Linked DNA regions of Stegostoma tigrinum. The protein of the gene in region 2 purifies or fractionates together with the protein of the main gene of each other region. This does not show direct contact. Links are inferred from orthologs where the notes say so. Each region holds a gene or a part of one and is shown on either strand. Other genes may lie near its edges. The genes, in order: polyadenylate-binding protein 4-like and larp1.

Region 1 (8,431 bases), on a different chromosome or scaffold from region 2:
CCGAAGTCAAGTGACAAGAAAAGTCACTAGCATAGGGCAGAAAAGAAATAGTGACACTAGAAAGTTGTATTCTGAGCACATTAGAATACTGCTTCATATTTCATTATGGATAACGTGTAAATGCTCAAGTTGCTCCTTACCATATGTGTAGGTTGCTGATAGTTGAACATTTATTTCTGATTTAGATTAAGGAGGATTCCGATTGGCTGAGAACTGTGGTTATGCCCACGATAGTTGCACAGTTTCGCTCAGCATCAGAACCTTTCATTGTTTTGTGTTAGAGCTGGTGCTGTGATGTCAGGAGGATCACAGAACAACAACTGAAAAAGATTTTTTAAAAATTTTAACAGACATTAAAACAAAGTGAAACTAATAATCTAAGTGCAACAATTAAATCAAAAGGTATAATTATCCATATTTCAGCACACTAGTTATTGTTTTAAGCACTATAACTTGTGCTAAGATATATTACTTGTGTGCTGAAACTTATTCGGCTGAACAAGAAATTAGACAATGTCTGCTACTATCCTATTGTAAAATGAATTTAAGTTACTAGAAGACACCAAATAGCTTTTCCTCATCGTAAAATTTCCAAGGTGATAGATGCCAATTTTTTCCAAAATTCAATCACAGCAGGGACAAAGTAACATACGAAATGGCTAACACTGCACTTTCTAAAGCCAAGATGAATACCATCTGCTGATAATCCCCAGCATTGTTGCAAATACACAAAACTTGACCCAACAATCAGAGGAAGGGAAAGGGTAGATGTTCTCTGTGCAGAAACTATGTAATGCCAGATGAGATTGAATGAACTAGTCCAACATAGCAGACAAAAAACAATTTTAAGTACAAAAGTGAGTAAAAGGCTAGAAAACTATCTTATTACAATTAAAGTACATACAATCAGACACTCTCTCATCACTTAGTGGATAAATGGATAACCTGATATAGTGGTGAACCAGACATTCGAGAAAATCCAGGGTTCAAAGGCTGTAATTTGCTAAGTTTTCTGATCTCAAACCCAAGTCACAATCTACTTCAGCTCATTATGCTTGAAGATAAAGGAGAACTGCTCAGCAACAATGCAAAGCATTCAGTCACTGACAAGGATCATATTGCTGCATATTAGCACTTCAGACACATCTTCACTATACTTCAACGACATTTTAATATTGAAGGCATCCTTCAAAGTGACTACCCGTTAAGTCCCTTGGCTGAACTGCTACTTTGCAACATCCAGTGACACCAAAAGCATGGGTTCAATTCCTGTATCGACTGAGGTTACCATGAAGGAACTGCGTTCTCAATCCTGCCCCTCACCCAACACATGGTGGCCCTCAGATTAAACTCACCAGCAGTTATTTTTGTATTCTAAGAAGAAAGCGACCCATAGTCCTCTGGGAATATGGGTGCCTTTCACTTCAATCTTGAATTTTAATATGTACAAAACTCTAATCCAATTTTAGAGTACTATACCAATGACAGTAGAAAACTGCTAGGTCCTCCTTCCATCCTGTACAATATAATGGTTCCTTCAGAGGTCTTAACCAAAAGGACATTATATAAATGCAAAGTTTAGACTGCATTTGCTCGCTAACTCTGAGTCACAGCCATGAACTCTCCACAAGGGGTTCATCTGAAGAAATCTGGTATTGGACACTAATTGCTTTTTATTTCCCCTCAACCCAGAAACACTGAAGCTAATTATAGGTGCATTTTCCAAAATCTCTGCTAAAAATAGCTAATGAACAGTTTTTGTAGGTTGTTTGGCCTAGTAATAAATCAAGTCCTTCATCAGCTCATTGAGCCATGATAGGTGCTCTACAACTTTTCTTCCTCAAGGACATCAGGCCCATAACTGTTTTTTGTGCCTGAAATGCTTTTCACCTCCTGGATATTTACCTTGTCATGGCCCTGCCTGTAATTTCTTTAGAACATCTTAAAAAGAACTGTGCCAGCTGCCAATTCATTGCCAACCGTGACATTGACAAATGTTACAAGTCATTATCGATTTTCATACCTGTGACATTGTGTTTACAAACGGAGATCCCCAAGGTCATGAGATTTCAATCCCTTCAGAATTCGTAACCTTTTTTAATTTTACTAGCCCATCATTTCAGCTACCTGCAATGAAATCGACGAGGTTTTAAACTAACTGGCGGTGTATTTTAAAGATCGGGGCAGGGAGATCTCCCAGATGAGAAAAGTTTGGCGCTATTCAAACCATCGGACAGACGAGAAACATTTCCTTTCGCTTGCCAGCAGCCAGTGGTATTTATATCTCTGGGCAGTGATGAGTTTGGACGTTGGCCTCCAGCAGCCACACAGCCCCCAGTGACGAGGGGCTGGATGGAGAAGCCTGGGGAGAAGGGCGGATGTGGTTCGGTCGAAGATTTTTTTTAAAAAAAACAAAAATAAAGCGTCTGGCTCACCGTCTGCGGGCTGCTGGAAGTTGACATAGGCGTATCCGAGCGACCTCCTGGTGATCATGTCTCTACAAACCCTGATGGAGAGCACAGGCCCGGCCGGACTAAATTTCTCATACAGCATCGCCTCGGTCACATCTGGGTGCAGGTCGCCGACATAAAGCGAGGCCATCGGGTAACTGGCACCGGTCTGATTCATCCTCAGACAGTCCGACACAAATTAAACGATCAACTTTCCCCCCCCCCCCCCCCCTAACGAAACGGGAGACAGCGAGCGCGAGGAATTGAAAGAAAAAGGGGAGTGGGCGAGGAACCGTCGGGCAAAGAACTTTCCAGAAATGCTCGAACCGGTTAAATCTGATTCTCTTCCTTATCTCCTGAAGCCTGTGGCCTATTGAGTTAACAGATCCCCGGCTCTTATAATTCTTTTCTTTTGTTTTGTTTTTAAAAACCGCTTCAGATACTTCAGCTTCCAGAAACTTCGGAAGGTTTGTCCGCACCCGATTCCAGGCGATAAATCCCAGAGCGTGGCTGAGACCTGGTTGGCTTTATTTTTCCTTTTTTTTAAAATTATTAAAAGTAACTGGATTTTCGCCCTCTTCACAACTTAGTTCCACCGATTTTTATTTTTGTTTTTTTCTGTTTATAAGATTTTTTTGATTTTTTTAAAGATTTTTTTTCACGTATGAGTGTGCGCTACCTCAGGAGCTTTTCCACACTCACACATGTGGCTAGGAGACGGAGAGAGAGTAATGGAGGAGGAGGCTTTTTATATCAACCAGCAAACGGTCCCGTCATTTCCTGCGCCATCAGAATGAAAGGCAAAATGAACAAGAGAGGAGGAAAGAAAAAAACCCAACAACTCAGCTTAGTCAGCTACAGCCGCTGCCCTCTGCAGGCTCAACAGCTCAGAGTTTCTGTCCCTTCAAGTTCAGCAGGTTTGCAAAAGACTTCCAACGCAAAGCATGTGCCATAGTCTATCCGAGATAATGGGAACTGCAGATGCTGAAGAATCCTAGATAATAAAGTGTGAAGCTGGATGAACACAGCAGGCCAAGCAGCATCTCAGGAGCACAAAAGCTGACGTTTCGGGCCTAGACCCTTCATCAGAGAGGGGGATGGGGTGAGGGTTCTGGAATAAATAGGGAGAGAGGGGGAGGCGGACCGAAGATGGAGAGAAAAGAAGATAGGTGGAGAGAGTATAGGTGGGTAGGTGGGGAGGGGATAGGTCAGCCCAGGGAAGACGGACAGGTCAAGGAGGTGGGATGAGGTAGATGGGGGTGCGGCTTGGGCTGGGAGGAAGGGATGGGTGAGAGGAAGAACAGGTTAGGGAGGCAGAGACAGGCTGGACTGGTTTTGGGATGCAGTGGGTGGAGGGGAAGAGCTGGGCTGGTTGTGTGGTGCAGTGGGGAGAGGGGACGAACTGGGCTGGTTTTGGGATGCGGTGGGGGAAGGGGAGATTTTGAAGCTGGTGAAGTCAACGTTGATACCATTAGGCTGCAGGGTTCCCAGGCGCAATATGAGTTGCTGTTCCTACAACCTTCGGGTGGCATCATTGTGGCACTGCGGAGATTTTGAAGCTGGTGAAGTCAACGTTGATACCATTAGGCTGCAGGGTTCCCAGGCGCAATATGAGTTGCTGTTCCTACAACCTTCGGGTGGCATCATTGTGTAGCATTTTCTGCGGTTGCAGGGGAAGGTGCCGGATGTGGTGGGGTTGGAGGGCAGTGTGGAGCGAACAAGGGAGTCACAGAGAGAGTGGTCTCTCCGGAAAGCAGACAGGGGTGGGGATGGAAAAATGTCTTGGGTGGTGGGGTCGGATTGTAGATGGCGGAAGTGTCGGAGGATGATGCGTTGTATCCAGAGGTTGGTGGGGTGGTGTGTGAGAACGAGGGGGATCCTCTTTGGGCAGTTGTGGCGGGGGCAGGGTGTGAGGGATGTGTTGCGGGAAATGCGGGAGACGCGGTCAAGGGCATTCTCGATCACTGTGGGGGGAAAGTTGCGGTCCTTGAAGAACTTGGACATCTGGGATGTGCTGGAGTGGAATGTCTTATCGTGGGAGCAGATGCGGCGGAGGCGGAAGAATTGGGAATAGGGGATGGAATTTTTGCAGGAGGGTGGGTGGGAGGAGGTGTATTCTAGGTAGCTGTGGAAGTCGGTGGGCTTGAAATGGACATCAGTTACAAGCTGGTTGCCTGAGATGGAGACTGAGAGGTCCAGGAAGGTGAGGGATGTGCTGGAGATGGCCCAGGTGAACTGAAGGTTGGGGTGGAAGGTGTTGGTGAAGTGGATGAACTGTTCGAGCTTCTCTGGGGAGCAAGAGGTGGCGCCGATACAGTCATCAATGTACCGGAGGAAGAGGTGGGGTTTGGGGCCTGTGTAGGTGCGGAAGAGGGACTGTTCCACGTAACCTACAAAGAGGCAGGCATAGCTGGGGCCCATGCGGGTGCCCATGGCCACCCGCTTAGTCTGTAGGAAGTGGGACTTCACCAGTTTCAAAATCTCCCCTTCCCTCACCGCATCCCTAAACCAGCCCAGTTCGTCCCCTCCCCCCACTGCGCCACACAACCAGCCCAGCTCTTCCCCTCCACCCACTGCATCCCAAAACCAGTCCAACCTGTCTCTGCCTCCCTAACCTGTTCTTCCTCTCACCCATCCCTTCCTCCCACCCCAAGCCGCACCCCCATCTACCTACTAACCTCATCCCACCTCCTTGACCTGTCTGTCTTCCCTGGACTGACCTATCCCCTCCCCACCTCTGCACCTATACTCTCCTCTCCACCTATCTTCTTTTCTCTCCATCTTCGGTCCGCCTCCCCCTCTCTCCCTATTTATTCCAGAACCCTCATCCCATCCCCCTCTCTGATGAAGGGCCTAGGCCCGAAACGTCAGCTTTTGTGCTCCTGAGATGCTGCTTGGCCTGCTGTGTTCATCCAGCCTCACATTTTATTGCCATAGTCTATCCCTTCAGGTTACTCTCTGAAGAGTCTGGCCCACAAGGGTATTCACGGACTACAAGATTGGGTCCCACCTCCGTCGTGCCCTGGCCCCCTCCGAAGCTGTGATTATGTCTGGGTCAAGAGGCAGAAGCTCCTGCATGGTCAAAGCAACTGGGGAAATCTTCAATAGATAACAAGGTGTAGAGCTGGATGAACACAGCAGGCCGAGCAGGAAGGCTGACATATCCGGCCTAGACCCCTCTGATGCTGCTTGGCCTGCTGTGCTCATCCAGCTCTACACCTTGTTATCTCCGATTCTCCAGCATCTGCAGTTCCTACTGTCTTGGGGGAAATCTTCATTTTGGTTGTAAGTTGGGGAGGGGTTATGATATTTCATTGCTCTGTTTCACAGCTGTCAGGCACAGCAATATTTTTTATGGAATCTTGCAAAACCTTACTAGGCAGAGGAACATTATAAAACAATTGTGTGACAACAAACCCATTAAGGAGTGTTGTAAAAATGGAAAGTGGGGAGAGGTGTCAGGAGGGATTTCCAAAGTTTGCGCCCCAGATACAGCGACCACTGGTGTAGTAATTAAAATTTAGGGTAATGCACAAGAGGCAAGAGTTAGTGGATTGCAGATATCCCAGGGGATTGTGGGGCTTGGGATGGGGGAGAAGTTCAGACAATAGAGGGATTTGAAAAATGAGAATTTCAAAAGGATAACATTGCTTGTTTGGAGGTCAGTGAGCACAAGGATGATAGGGCAATGGTACTTGTGTGTTAACATGCAGGCAACAATATTTTGAATGATCTAAATAGAGTATAGGTTATGGGAGACCAGCCAAAGGTGCATTGGAATGGTCAAATCTAGAGACAGAGAAGATAGACGAGCTGAGGCAGAGATAACAAAGTGTAGAGCTGATCTAGGCCCAGAATGTCAGCTTTTCTGCTCCTAAGATGCTGCTTGGCCTGCTGCGTTTATCCAACTCTACACTTTGTTATCTCGGATTCTCCAGCATCTGCAGTTCCTATTATCTCTGAGCTGAGACAGAACTGACTTCAGATGATGTTACAATGTGGAAGTAGACATTCTTAGCGATAGCATGAATGGGAAATCAGAGGTTCAGTTCAGGATCAATGCCAGTCTGACTTAATATTAGACTGTTATCAGCGAAAGGAATAGAGTTTGTAACTAGGGAATAGGGTATGGATTTGGGTTAAAGGCAATGACTTCAGACTTCACAATATTTAATTGGAGGAAATTTCTACTCAACCAGTACCGGATATCGGATAAGCAGTCTGCTCATTTATCAGCAGTGAAGAAGTCAAGCTGGTGAAGGTAGATTTGTGTGTTGTTATAGTGTACGTGTGAAAACTAATGCTGTGCTTTTGGATGGAGTTCTCGTTTGGTAGCATGTAGATGGGAAATAGGAAGGAACCAAGGATATATCTTTGACACCAGAGACATCAACACAATAACAGGAAAAGGAACCATGACAGTGATTCTCTGGCTACAATAGAATAAACAAGAGTAGAAACAGGTGACAGCAGTTACATCTATCTGAATGACAGTTTGAAAGGTGTAAGAGGTTATTGCTATGGTCAACCATGTCAAACTCTGCAGATGGATTAAGAAAAATGTAAAGAGAAAGTTTACTATGGTCACGGTCACATAGGCTGTAATTTGTGATTTTGATAAGAACTGTTTGGTACTGTGTCAGGTAGAAATTGATTGAAGGGATTCAAACCTAGAATACAAAAGAAAAAGAGATAAGGTGTAGAGCTGGATGAACACAACAGGCTGAGCAGCATCTTTGTTCCTAAGATGCTGCTTGGCTTGCTGTGTTCATCCAGCTCTACACCTTGTTATCTTGGATTCTCCAGCATCTGCAGTTCCTATTATCGCTGATACAAATGAAAATCTTGTGTTTCTTCAGTGATTTCGCAGTCCAAAGTGCTTTACTTTCAATAAAGTACTTTTGAGGTGTGACTGGTGATGTTTGTGCACAGCAAGTTCTCAGTCAAGTCCAAAATGCACTCAAGAAGACTGGTGTCCACATTTACTTAGAAGTGTATAGTCTGCAAGTCATTTAGGAATACTGAATTTTACAGTATTTTAGAGTTTTTAATCCTGAGCTTTTTCTGCCTTCCATAGTGTTTCTGCTGACACATTCTCTTTCAGGAACCGGTCATGCTTAAGTTTTAGCACAAGCTTCTTTCATAATGGTAAAGCCTACACTCATTGGGAATATTTCAAGCTGATATTCAAAAGAAGTCCTATGAAGCAATGCAATGCAGGTCAGGCACAATATCTGTACCTTCATGTCAGTATCCACACAATCAAAGAGAAATGAGATATCACTTAGCCATGTTCATAATTGTTCCTGTACCCAAAGGAACCTGTGCTAACCAATTCCTCATGGCATCATTTCCGTTTGTTATTGTCTGACTAACCGCTAGATGAATGATTCTTCAAAAGCACCCAATTAGAATTTGCCAAGTTTTATGTGGTACTGTATGAAAATGGCTTGATGGTGTGATCAAGAGTGATTGACAACACCTCCCAAAACGCCACCAGCCATTTCTGTTGTGCCTGTTTACTCTTGAGTTCTTGCCAAACATAATCTATCCATCATATCAAGTTCTGGGTCAGCAGAGCAACTGACACAAAACTGTGGCAACTGCTTCAAACATACTTGTGACCTGGCATGTGGGCAGATACTTTAATCATTGGCTATGGCCTGAAACTTGGCTGAACCTAGTTGCTGATCTTTGAAATTGTAGTGTTGAAAACACAGAGAGTCATTTTGCAATAGAACAGCATTGCTTTTCCTTTAAAAGCAAAACAGATGATAACGTATGTTTTGTCACTTGTCTACAAATGACTCCTTTCATCTCCCTTCTACTGACACTACAGAATTCCTGCCCCTTGAGCCTCAGTAGATGATAGTTTGAAATGCCATTTAAGACATTCCAAAGACTTACTGTGCTTTTCCCTCCCTATGTGACAGACCCCTTTAATTGCACACAACTATTTAAATTTTGTGTCCATATAAATT
Region 2 (7,879 bases):
TGGCGAGTTCTGTGAGGGGGAGGGTTGTGTGTGTGGGGTGTGGAGAGTTCTGTGAGGGGAATGGGGAGTGGCGGATTTTGTAAGAGGGAGGGCCATGTGTTTGGTGTGAGTAGAGGGGTACTGATTGGGGGAGGGGGTGTGTGTAGGGGGGTTCAGTGTGGGGGAGGTGGGTGTGTGTGGTGTGTGTAGAGGGGTACTGTGTAGGGGAGGGGGGTGTGTGTGGAGTGGCTCTGTGTTGAGGAGGGGGTGTGAGTAGAGAGGTTATATGTTGTGGAGGGGTGTATGTGGTGTGTGCAGAGGGGTTCTGTGTGGGGGAGGGGGATGTGTTTGGGATGTTGCGGGGTTCTGTGTGGGGGCAGGGGATGTGTTTGGGATGTTGCGGGGTTCTGTGTGGGGGTGGGGGGTGTATTTGGGATGTTGCTGGGTTCTGTGCAGGGGAGGTGATGTATTTGGGATGTTGCGGGGTTCTGTGTGGGGGAGGGGTGTGTATTTAGGATGTTGCGGGGTTCTGTGTGGGGGTGGGGGGTGGGTTTGGGATGTTGCGGGGTTCTGTGTAGGGGAGGGGGATGTGTTTGGGATGTTGCTGGGTTCTGTGTCGGGGAAGGGGGTGTATTTGGGATGTTGCTGGGTTCTGTGTCGGGGAGGGAGATGTGTTTGGGATGTTGCTGGGTTCTGTGTCGGGGAGGGGGGCGTATTTGGGATGTTGCTGGGTTCTGTGTTGGGGAGGGGGGTGTATTTGGGATGGTGTGGGGTTCTGCTTTGGGGAGGGGGATGCGCTTGGGATGTTGCTGGGTTCTGTGTGGGGGAGGGGGATGTGTTTGGGATGTTGCGGGGTTCTGTGTAAGGGAGGGGGATGTGTTTGGAATGTTGCGGGGTTCTGTGTGGGGAGGGGGATGTATTTGGGATGTTGCTGGGTTCTGTGTGGGGAGGGGGGTGTATTTGGGATGTTGCTGGGTTCTGTGTCGGGGAGGGGGGTGTATTTGGGATGTTGCAGGGTACTGCTTTGGGGAGGGGGGTGTGTTTGGGATGTTGCTGGGTTCTGTGTCGGGGAGGGGGGTGTATTTGGGATGTTGCTGGGTTCTGTGTGGGGAGGGGGGTGTATTTGGGACGTTGCTGGGTTCTGTGTCGTGGAGGTGGGTGTATTTGGGATGTTGCGGGGTTCTGTGTGGGGGAGGGGTGTGTGTTTAGGATGTTGCGGGGTTCTGTGTGGGGGTGGGGGGTGGGTTTGGGATGTTGCGGGGTTCTGTGTAGGGGAGGGGGATGTGTTTGGGATGTTGCGGTGTTCTGTGTCGGGGAAGGGGGTGTATTTGGGATGTTGCTGGGTTCTGTGTCGGGGAGGGCGGTGTATTTGGGATGTTGCTGAGTTCTGTGTTGGGGAGGGGGTTGTATTTGGGATGGTGCGGGGTTCTGCTTTGGAGAGGGGGATGTGCTTGGGATGTTGCTGGGTTCTGTGTGGGGGAGGGGGATGTGTTTGGGATGTTGCGGGGTTCTGTGTAAGGGAGGGGGATGTGTTTGGGATGTTGCGGGGTTCTGAATGGAGGAGGCGAATGTGTTTGGGATGATGCAGGGTTATGTGTGGGGAGGGGGGTGTATTTGGTATGTTGCTGGGTTCTGTGTGGGGAGAGGGGTGTATTTGGGATGTTGCGGGGTTCTGTGTTGGGGAGCGGGGTGTATTTGGGATGTTGCTAGGTTCTGTGTGGGGGAGGGGGATGTGTTTGGGATGTTGCGGGGTTCTGTGTAAGGGAGGGGGATGTGTTTGGAATGTTGCGGGGTTCTGTGTGGGGAGGGGGGTGTATTTGGGATGTTGCGGGGTTCTGTGTTGGGGAGCGGGGTGTATTTGGGATGTTGCGGGGTTCTGCTTTGGGGAGGGGGTGTGTTTGGGATGTTGCTAGGTTCTGTGTGGGGGAGGGGGATGTGTTTGGGATGTTGCGGGGTTCTCTGTAAGGGAGGGGGATGTGTTTGGGATGTTGCGGGGTTCTGTGTAGGGGAGGGGGATGTGTTTGGGATGTTGCTGGGTTCTGTGTAGGGGAGGGGGATGTGTTTGGGATGTTGCGAGGTTCTGAATGGAGGAGGCGAATGCGTTGGGGATGATGCAGGGTTATGTGTGGGGGAGGAGGGTGTATTTGGGATGTTGCTGGGTTCTGTGTGGGGGAGGGGGATGTATTTGGGATGTTGCTGGGTTCTGTGTCGGGGAGGGGGGTGTATTTGGGATGTTGCTGGGTTCTGTGTGGGGGAGGGGGTGTGTTTGGGATGTTGCTGGGTTCTGTGTGGGGGAGGGGGATGTGTTTGGGATGTTGCGGGGTTCTGTGTAAGGGAGGGGGATGTGTTTGGGATGTTGCGGTGTTCTGTGTAGGGGAGGGGGATGTGTTTGGGATGTTGCTGGGTTCTGTGTATGGGAGGGGGATGTGTTTGGGATGTTGCGGGGTTCTGAACGGAGGAGGCGAATGCATTGGGGATGATGCAGGGTTATGTGTGGGGCAGGAGGGTGTATTTGGGATGTTGCTGGGTTCTGTGTGGGGGAGGGGGATGTATTTGCGATGTTGCTGGGTTCTGTGTCGGGGAGGGGGGTGTATTTGGGATGTTGCTGGGTTCTGTGTGGGGGAGGGGGTGTGTTTGGGATGTTGCTGGGTTCTGTGTGGGGAGGGGGTTGTATTTGGGATGTTGCTGGGTTCTGTGTCGGGGAGGGTGATGTATTTGGGATGTTGCGGGGTTCTGCTTTGTGGAGGGGGGTGTATTTGGGATGTTGCTGGGTTCTGTGTGGGGGAGCGGGATGTATTTGCGATGTTGCTGGGTTCTGTGTCGGGGAGGGGGGTGTATTTGGGATGTTGCTGGGTTCTGTGTGGGGGAGGGGGTGTGTTTGGGATGTTGCTGGGTTCTGTGTGGGGAGGGCGTTGTATTTGGGATGTTGCTGGGTTCTGTGTCGGGGAGGGGGATGTATTTGGGATGTTGCGGGGTTCTGCTTCGGGGAGGGGGGTGTATTTGGGATGTTGCGGGGTTCTGTGTCGGGGAGGGGGATGTATTTGGGATGTTGCGGGGTTCTGTGTCGGGGAGGGGGATGTATTTGGGATGTTGCGGGGTTCTGTGTCGGGGAGGGGGATGTATTTGGGATGTTGCGGTGTTCTGTGTCGGGGAGGGGGATGTATTTGGGATGTTGCGGGGTTCTGTGTCGGGGAGGGGGGTGTATTTGGGATGTTGCGGTGTTCTGTGTGGGGGAGGGGGATGTATTTGGGATGTTGCTGGGTTCTGTGTCGGGGAGGGGGATGTATTTGGGATGTTGCGGTGTTCTGTGTCGGGGAGGGGGATGTATTTGGGATGTTGCGGGGTTCTGTGTCGGGGAGGGGGGTGTATTTGGGATGTTGCGGTGTTCTGTGTGGGGGAGGGGGATGTATTTGGGATGTTGCGGTGTTCTGTGTCAGGGAGGGGGATGTATTTGGGATGTTGCGGGGTTCTGTGTCGGGGAGGGGTGTGTATTTGGGATGTTGCGGTGTTCTGTGTGGGGGAGGGGGATGTATTTGGGATGTTGCGGGGTTCTGTGTCGGGGAGGGGGATGTATTTGGGATGTTGCGGGGTTCTGTGTCGGGGAGGGGGGTGTATTTGGGATGTTGCGGGGTTCTGTGTCGGGGAGGGGGGTGTATTTGGGATGTTGCTGGGTTCTGTGTCGGGGAGGGGGGTGTATTTGGGATGTTGCGGGGTTCTGTGTCGGGGAGGGGGGTGTATTTGGGATGTTGCGGGGTTCTGTGTCGGGGAAAGGGGTGTGTTTGGGATGTTGCGGGGTTCTGTGTCGGGGAGGGGGATGTATTTGGGATGTTGCGGGGTTCTGTTTGGGGGAAAGGGGTGTGTTTGGGATGTTGCGGGGTTCTGTGTCGGGGAGGGGGGTGTATTTGGGATGTTGCGGGGTTCTGTGTCGGGGAGGGGGGTGTATTTGGGATGTTGCTGGGTTCTGTGTCGGGGAGGGGGGTGTATTTGGGATGTTGCTGGGTTTTGTGTGGGGGAAAGGGGTGTGTTTGGGATGTTGCGGTGTTCTGTGTCGGGGAGGGGGGTGTATTTGGGATGTTGCGGGGTTCTGTGTGGGGGAGGGGGGTGTATTTGGGATGTTGCTGGGTTCTGTGTCGGGGAGGGGGGTGTATTTGGGATGTTGCTGGGTTCTGTGTGGGGGAAAGGGGTGTGTTTGGGATGTTGCTGGGTTCTGTGTGGGGGAAAGGGGTGTGTTTGGGATGTTGCGGTGTTCTGTGTCGGGGAGGGGGGTGTGTTTGGGATGTTGCGGTGTTCTGTGTCGGGGAGAGGGGTGTGTTTGGGATGTTGCGGTGTTCTGTGTCGGGGAGGGGGATGTATTTGGGATGTTGCTGGGTTCTGTGTCGGGGAGAGGGGTGTGTTTGGGATGTTGCGGTGTTCTGTGTCGGGGAGGGGGGTGTGTTTGGGATGTTGCTGCGTTGGTAACGGGGCGTGGGTGTGGGCGGGCTCTGTTTTTCAAGTCCCACCCACCGTTGCTCGCTCCCTCGGGTCAGCTGGGGAACGGCGGAGTACGTGCGCGCCCCGCGTCAGCGTGGGTTCGGCGCGGTGCGTGCGCGCGTACGCTGCTGCCACACGGAGTCCGAGTGCGAGCCCAGCCGCCGCCATGGCCACGCAGGTGCAGAGTCTGCCGTCGCCTCACGGAGCCCAGGCCCCGGAGCAACCGCGTTCGGAGCCGGCCCAGAACTCGGTACACGCCCAGGCCCCGGCATTGCGCCAGGCCGCCGGGCCCGAGCAGGCGTCCTCCCAGACCGGGGCTGGCACCGGCACCAGGCCTGAGGCCAAGCGCCTCATGGCAGCCCCGCCGCCCAAGGTGAACCCGTGGAGTAAAACGGCCTGTGCCGGCGAGTCCGGCGCTCCCAGCCCGGCTCCGCCTGCAGAGCCCGGAGTGGCCTCCGGACCTGGACCAGGGCCCGGCTCCGAGCCCCCGGGACAGGCTGGAGACAGCGCTGAGGAGCAGAGGGCCGGTGGCTGCGGCCGCAGGAAGGAGTTCATCGAGGCGCCCCCGCCCAGAGTCAATCCCTGGACCAGGAGAGTGAGCGGGAGCGGCGTGGAGACCGAGCCAGGTTAGTGCAGGCCCATGAAGGAGAAAGAGGGTGAGGAATCTGTGGCCGGGCCCAAGACTGGGACAGGTGTTGGGGTGGGGTGGGGTTTGATCGATAAGTAAGGGGGTTGCTCAGTCCCCTGCCACCCCCATCTTTAAAACTCCCAGATCCCAAATTTCTTTTCGCCATCCCCAGTCCAAGGATCTGTGGTAGGGGAGTACCCAGTGTCAGATTCAGCTTCCCAGGTCCTATGTTGTGGGTATACTAACCTTCCCTGATTTTAGATCCCGAATCCTTTGCTTCACATCCCTCCCCTGCCCCCGAAGCTCCCAACCAGTGCTCCCAGACATTACTTACTTGTTAGATCTCACCACCGTACCACACCTGAGATTTGGGAGTCCCTGTCTGCAGATCACTCATCTGACTGCACTCACACATCAATTCTTATTCGTCTCTACCTCACTGCTTGATCTGCCAGTTCAGGATTCTTGCTCCAAACCTGTGGACCAGGCATCCCTGTCCACCCGAGCTGAAACTCCTGTTACAAACAATGTTTATGCCCAGGATTTTGTCTTTTTTTCCTGTTGCGTTCTGAGATGCTGTAACGGTGTGATTCATGCTCAACTTTGATCCTTTTGTCATTAGAACAGGATATTATGGGGTAGCTTGACATGTTAAAAGTTACGAAGGGATGGAACAGAGTTTTATGTGACCAGAGGCCATTTAAGAATTGGTTGGTGGTTGATGGAGTGAAGGGTGCTGGGAAATGGTGAGGAGATAGGATCGTGACTGTTGGTGTGGAGAGCATGTGATGCTTTCTTTTCATACCTGTATTCTGTTTCTGCATGCATTTTTACTGTTAGCAACATGTGCACGATTGAGCAAATAGTCTTTTTCTTTGCCAATTAATTGGATGATAAATCTACAAAAAAGTGGAGAAGCTGTTACTCGGGAATGGCTCACATGACCTGTGTGGATTATATGCGACATGGTTTTTTTCTTAACCTAGTTGTGGTATTGTACTTCTCCTTTATTGAGCAATGAAATCATCGAAGCATATTCCTAATACTTAAGGACTGAAATGTAAACTGATACTGGCTTCTGGGCATGGATGATCCTTCCCCAAGACTTGGATCGGTTCTGCATGCAGCAGTGCAGTGAGGAGAAGAGTTAAATGGATACTGGGATACGTTCATCAAGCAATGCACCATTTTTGTTCAAAAAGATTTTTCAGGGTTTTGCCAAAATTCTGAAATGGGTGTCATCTTGAGTGTTTATTGCAGATAAAGTTGAAGTTGAATGTCGGCGTACTGAAAAACTAACGCAAAATTCTGGAATACACACCAATTTAGTTGGAATCTGAAAGACAGCGGTCATGGTTTAGGGTGGAGACATTGTCACAAATGAATGTATGTCTGAAGCTCTGTTTTCATCCGGACATTAGCCTGTTCTTTCTGATTAATGTCGGTGATTCTGAAGCACTTTTTAAATCAGTCCCTGATCTTAAAACCTGTTCACATGAAGCATGTTGCTCTGCTTCTAGTTACCAATCTTCTGTGAATGATAACACTGCACGTTGGAACAGAACCATGTCCTGCATAAACTACTCATCTGGGACCCTAGCACTGTGACACAGGTTCATGTTTACAATGGAGAAATAATAGAACATAGAACGTTACAGCACAGTACAGGCCCTTCGGCCCTTGATGTTGTGCTGACCTGTCATACCGATCTCAAGCCCATCTAACCTACACTATTCCGTGTATGTCCATATGCTTATCCAATGAGGACTTAAATGTACCTAAATCTTCTTTTATTTACATAGTGCCTGACCATGATTCCAGGTTGCCCAAAGCGCACTTGCAGCAAAAATTACTTCGGAAGTACGACTCCAGTCATATTGGCAAATATGGCAGCCAGGTTATGTGATCAAAAACAGTACTTTTGAGTTCTTCTACATGGTGAAACATTCCAAGGCACTTCACGAGAGCAAGAAAGTTTTGGATGCCCAGCCACTAGACATATTAGACCAGAAGAGAGATGTTTTACACACTGTCTTGAAGCAAGAGAGGGATGGAGAGGTTTAAGGAGGGAATTCCAGAAAATATAGTTTCTGCAGCTGAATGCACAGTTGCCAGTAGTTCATTGTAAAACCTGGAGATACTCTAGACCAGAATTGGAGGAGTGCACGTAAATGGGTTACAGAAACACGTTTGCATTTATATAGCATCTTACATCACCATAGGATGCTCCAAAGAATTTACAATTTACAAAGCACTTTTTGAAGTATAATTATTGTAAAACTGTGCAGCAAAATTGTGCGCAGCAAGATCCCTCAAGTAACTACTTTTCATTTGATTGGAGGGTAAATATTGTCCATGCACTGGGGTAACTCCCATGCTCTTCAATATGATGCAATAGGAACATTTACATCTACATGGGAGGATAGGAGGGGCCCCAGATATAATGCTTCATCCAAAAGACATTAACTCTGACATTGCAACATTTCTTCGTATTGCATTAGGTTACCAACCGAGATGTTTATGCTTGAGTCCTGGATAAAGATGATGGAATTGAAAATAAGGGAGGGAAGGTTCCTGATGTTTCTGACCAGGAACGAGTATAAGCCATTGAACACAGGACTGAAAGGTGAACTGAGTTTAGTATCACTAACGATACAGTTTTGAATGGTTCCAAGTTTATGGAGAGCTAAATGTTGAGGATTGACTATATGTTGGAATAATCAAATGCACAGGTAACAAAGGCAAAGGAAATAAGACAACTAATTTGTTGCTATTGCTGGTCTTGACTGTTAAATTGAATAT

What was found.
Region 1: the proteins of larp1 (region 2) and polyadenylate-binding protein 4-like purify together in Homo sapiens (affinity purification with mass spectrometry; 3 studies listed by BioGRID and IntAct, with this or other methods). This does not show direct contact. The link is inferred for Stegostoma tigrinum from reciprocal best matches to the Homo sapiens genes LARP1 and PABPC4.

Annotation. Positions count from the first base shown.
Region 1 is NC_081377.1:33,629,311-33,637,741, reverse strand, and holds the start of polyadenylate-binding protein 4-like, read right to left. Parts: upstream 3,188-8,431; 5' UTR 2,629-3,187; coding exon 2,436-2,628; intron 2,128-2,435; exon of another isoform or gene 2,024-2,127; intron 321-2,023; exon of another isoform or gene 141-320; intron 1-140.
Region 2 is NC_081366.1:13,969,045-13,976,923, reverse strand, and holds the start of larp1 (la-related protein 1), read left to right. Parts: upstream 1-4,589; 5' UTR 4,590-4,615; coding exon 4,616-5,075; intron 5,076-7,879. UniProt on the Homo sapiens protein: RNA-binding protein that regulates the translation of specific target mRNA species downstream of the mTORC1 complex, in function of growth signals and nutrient availability.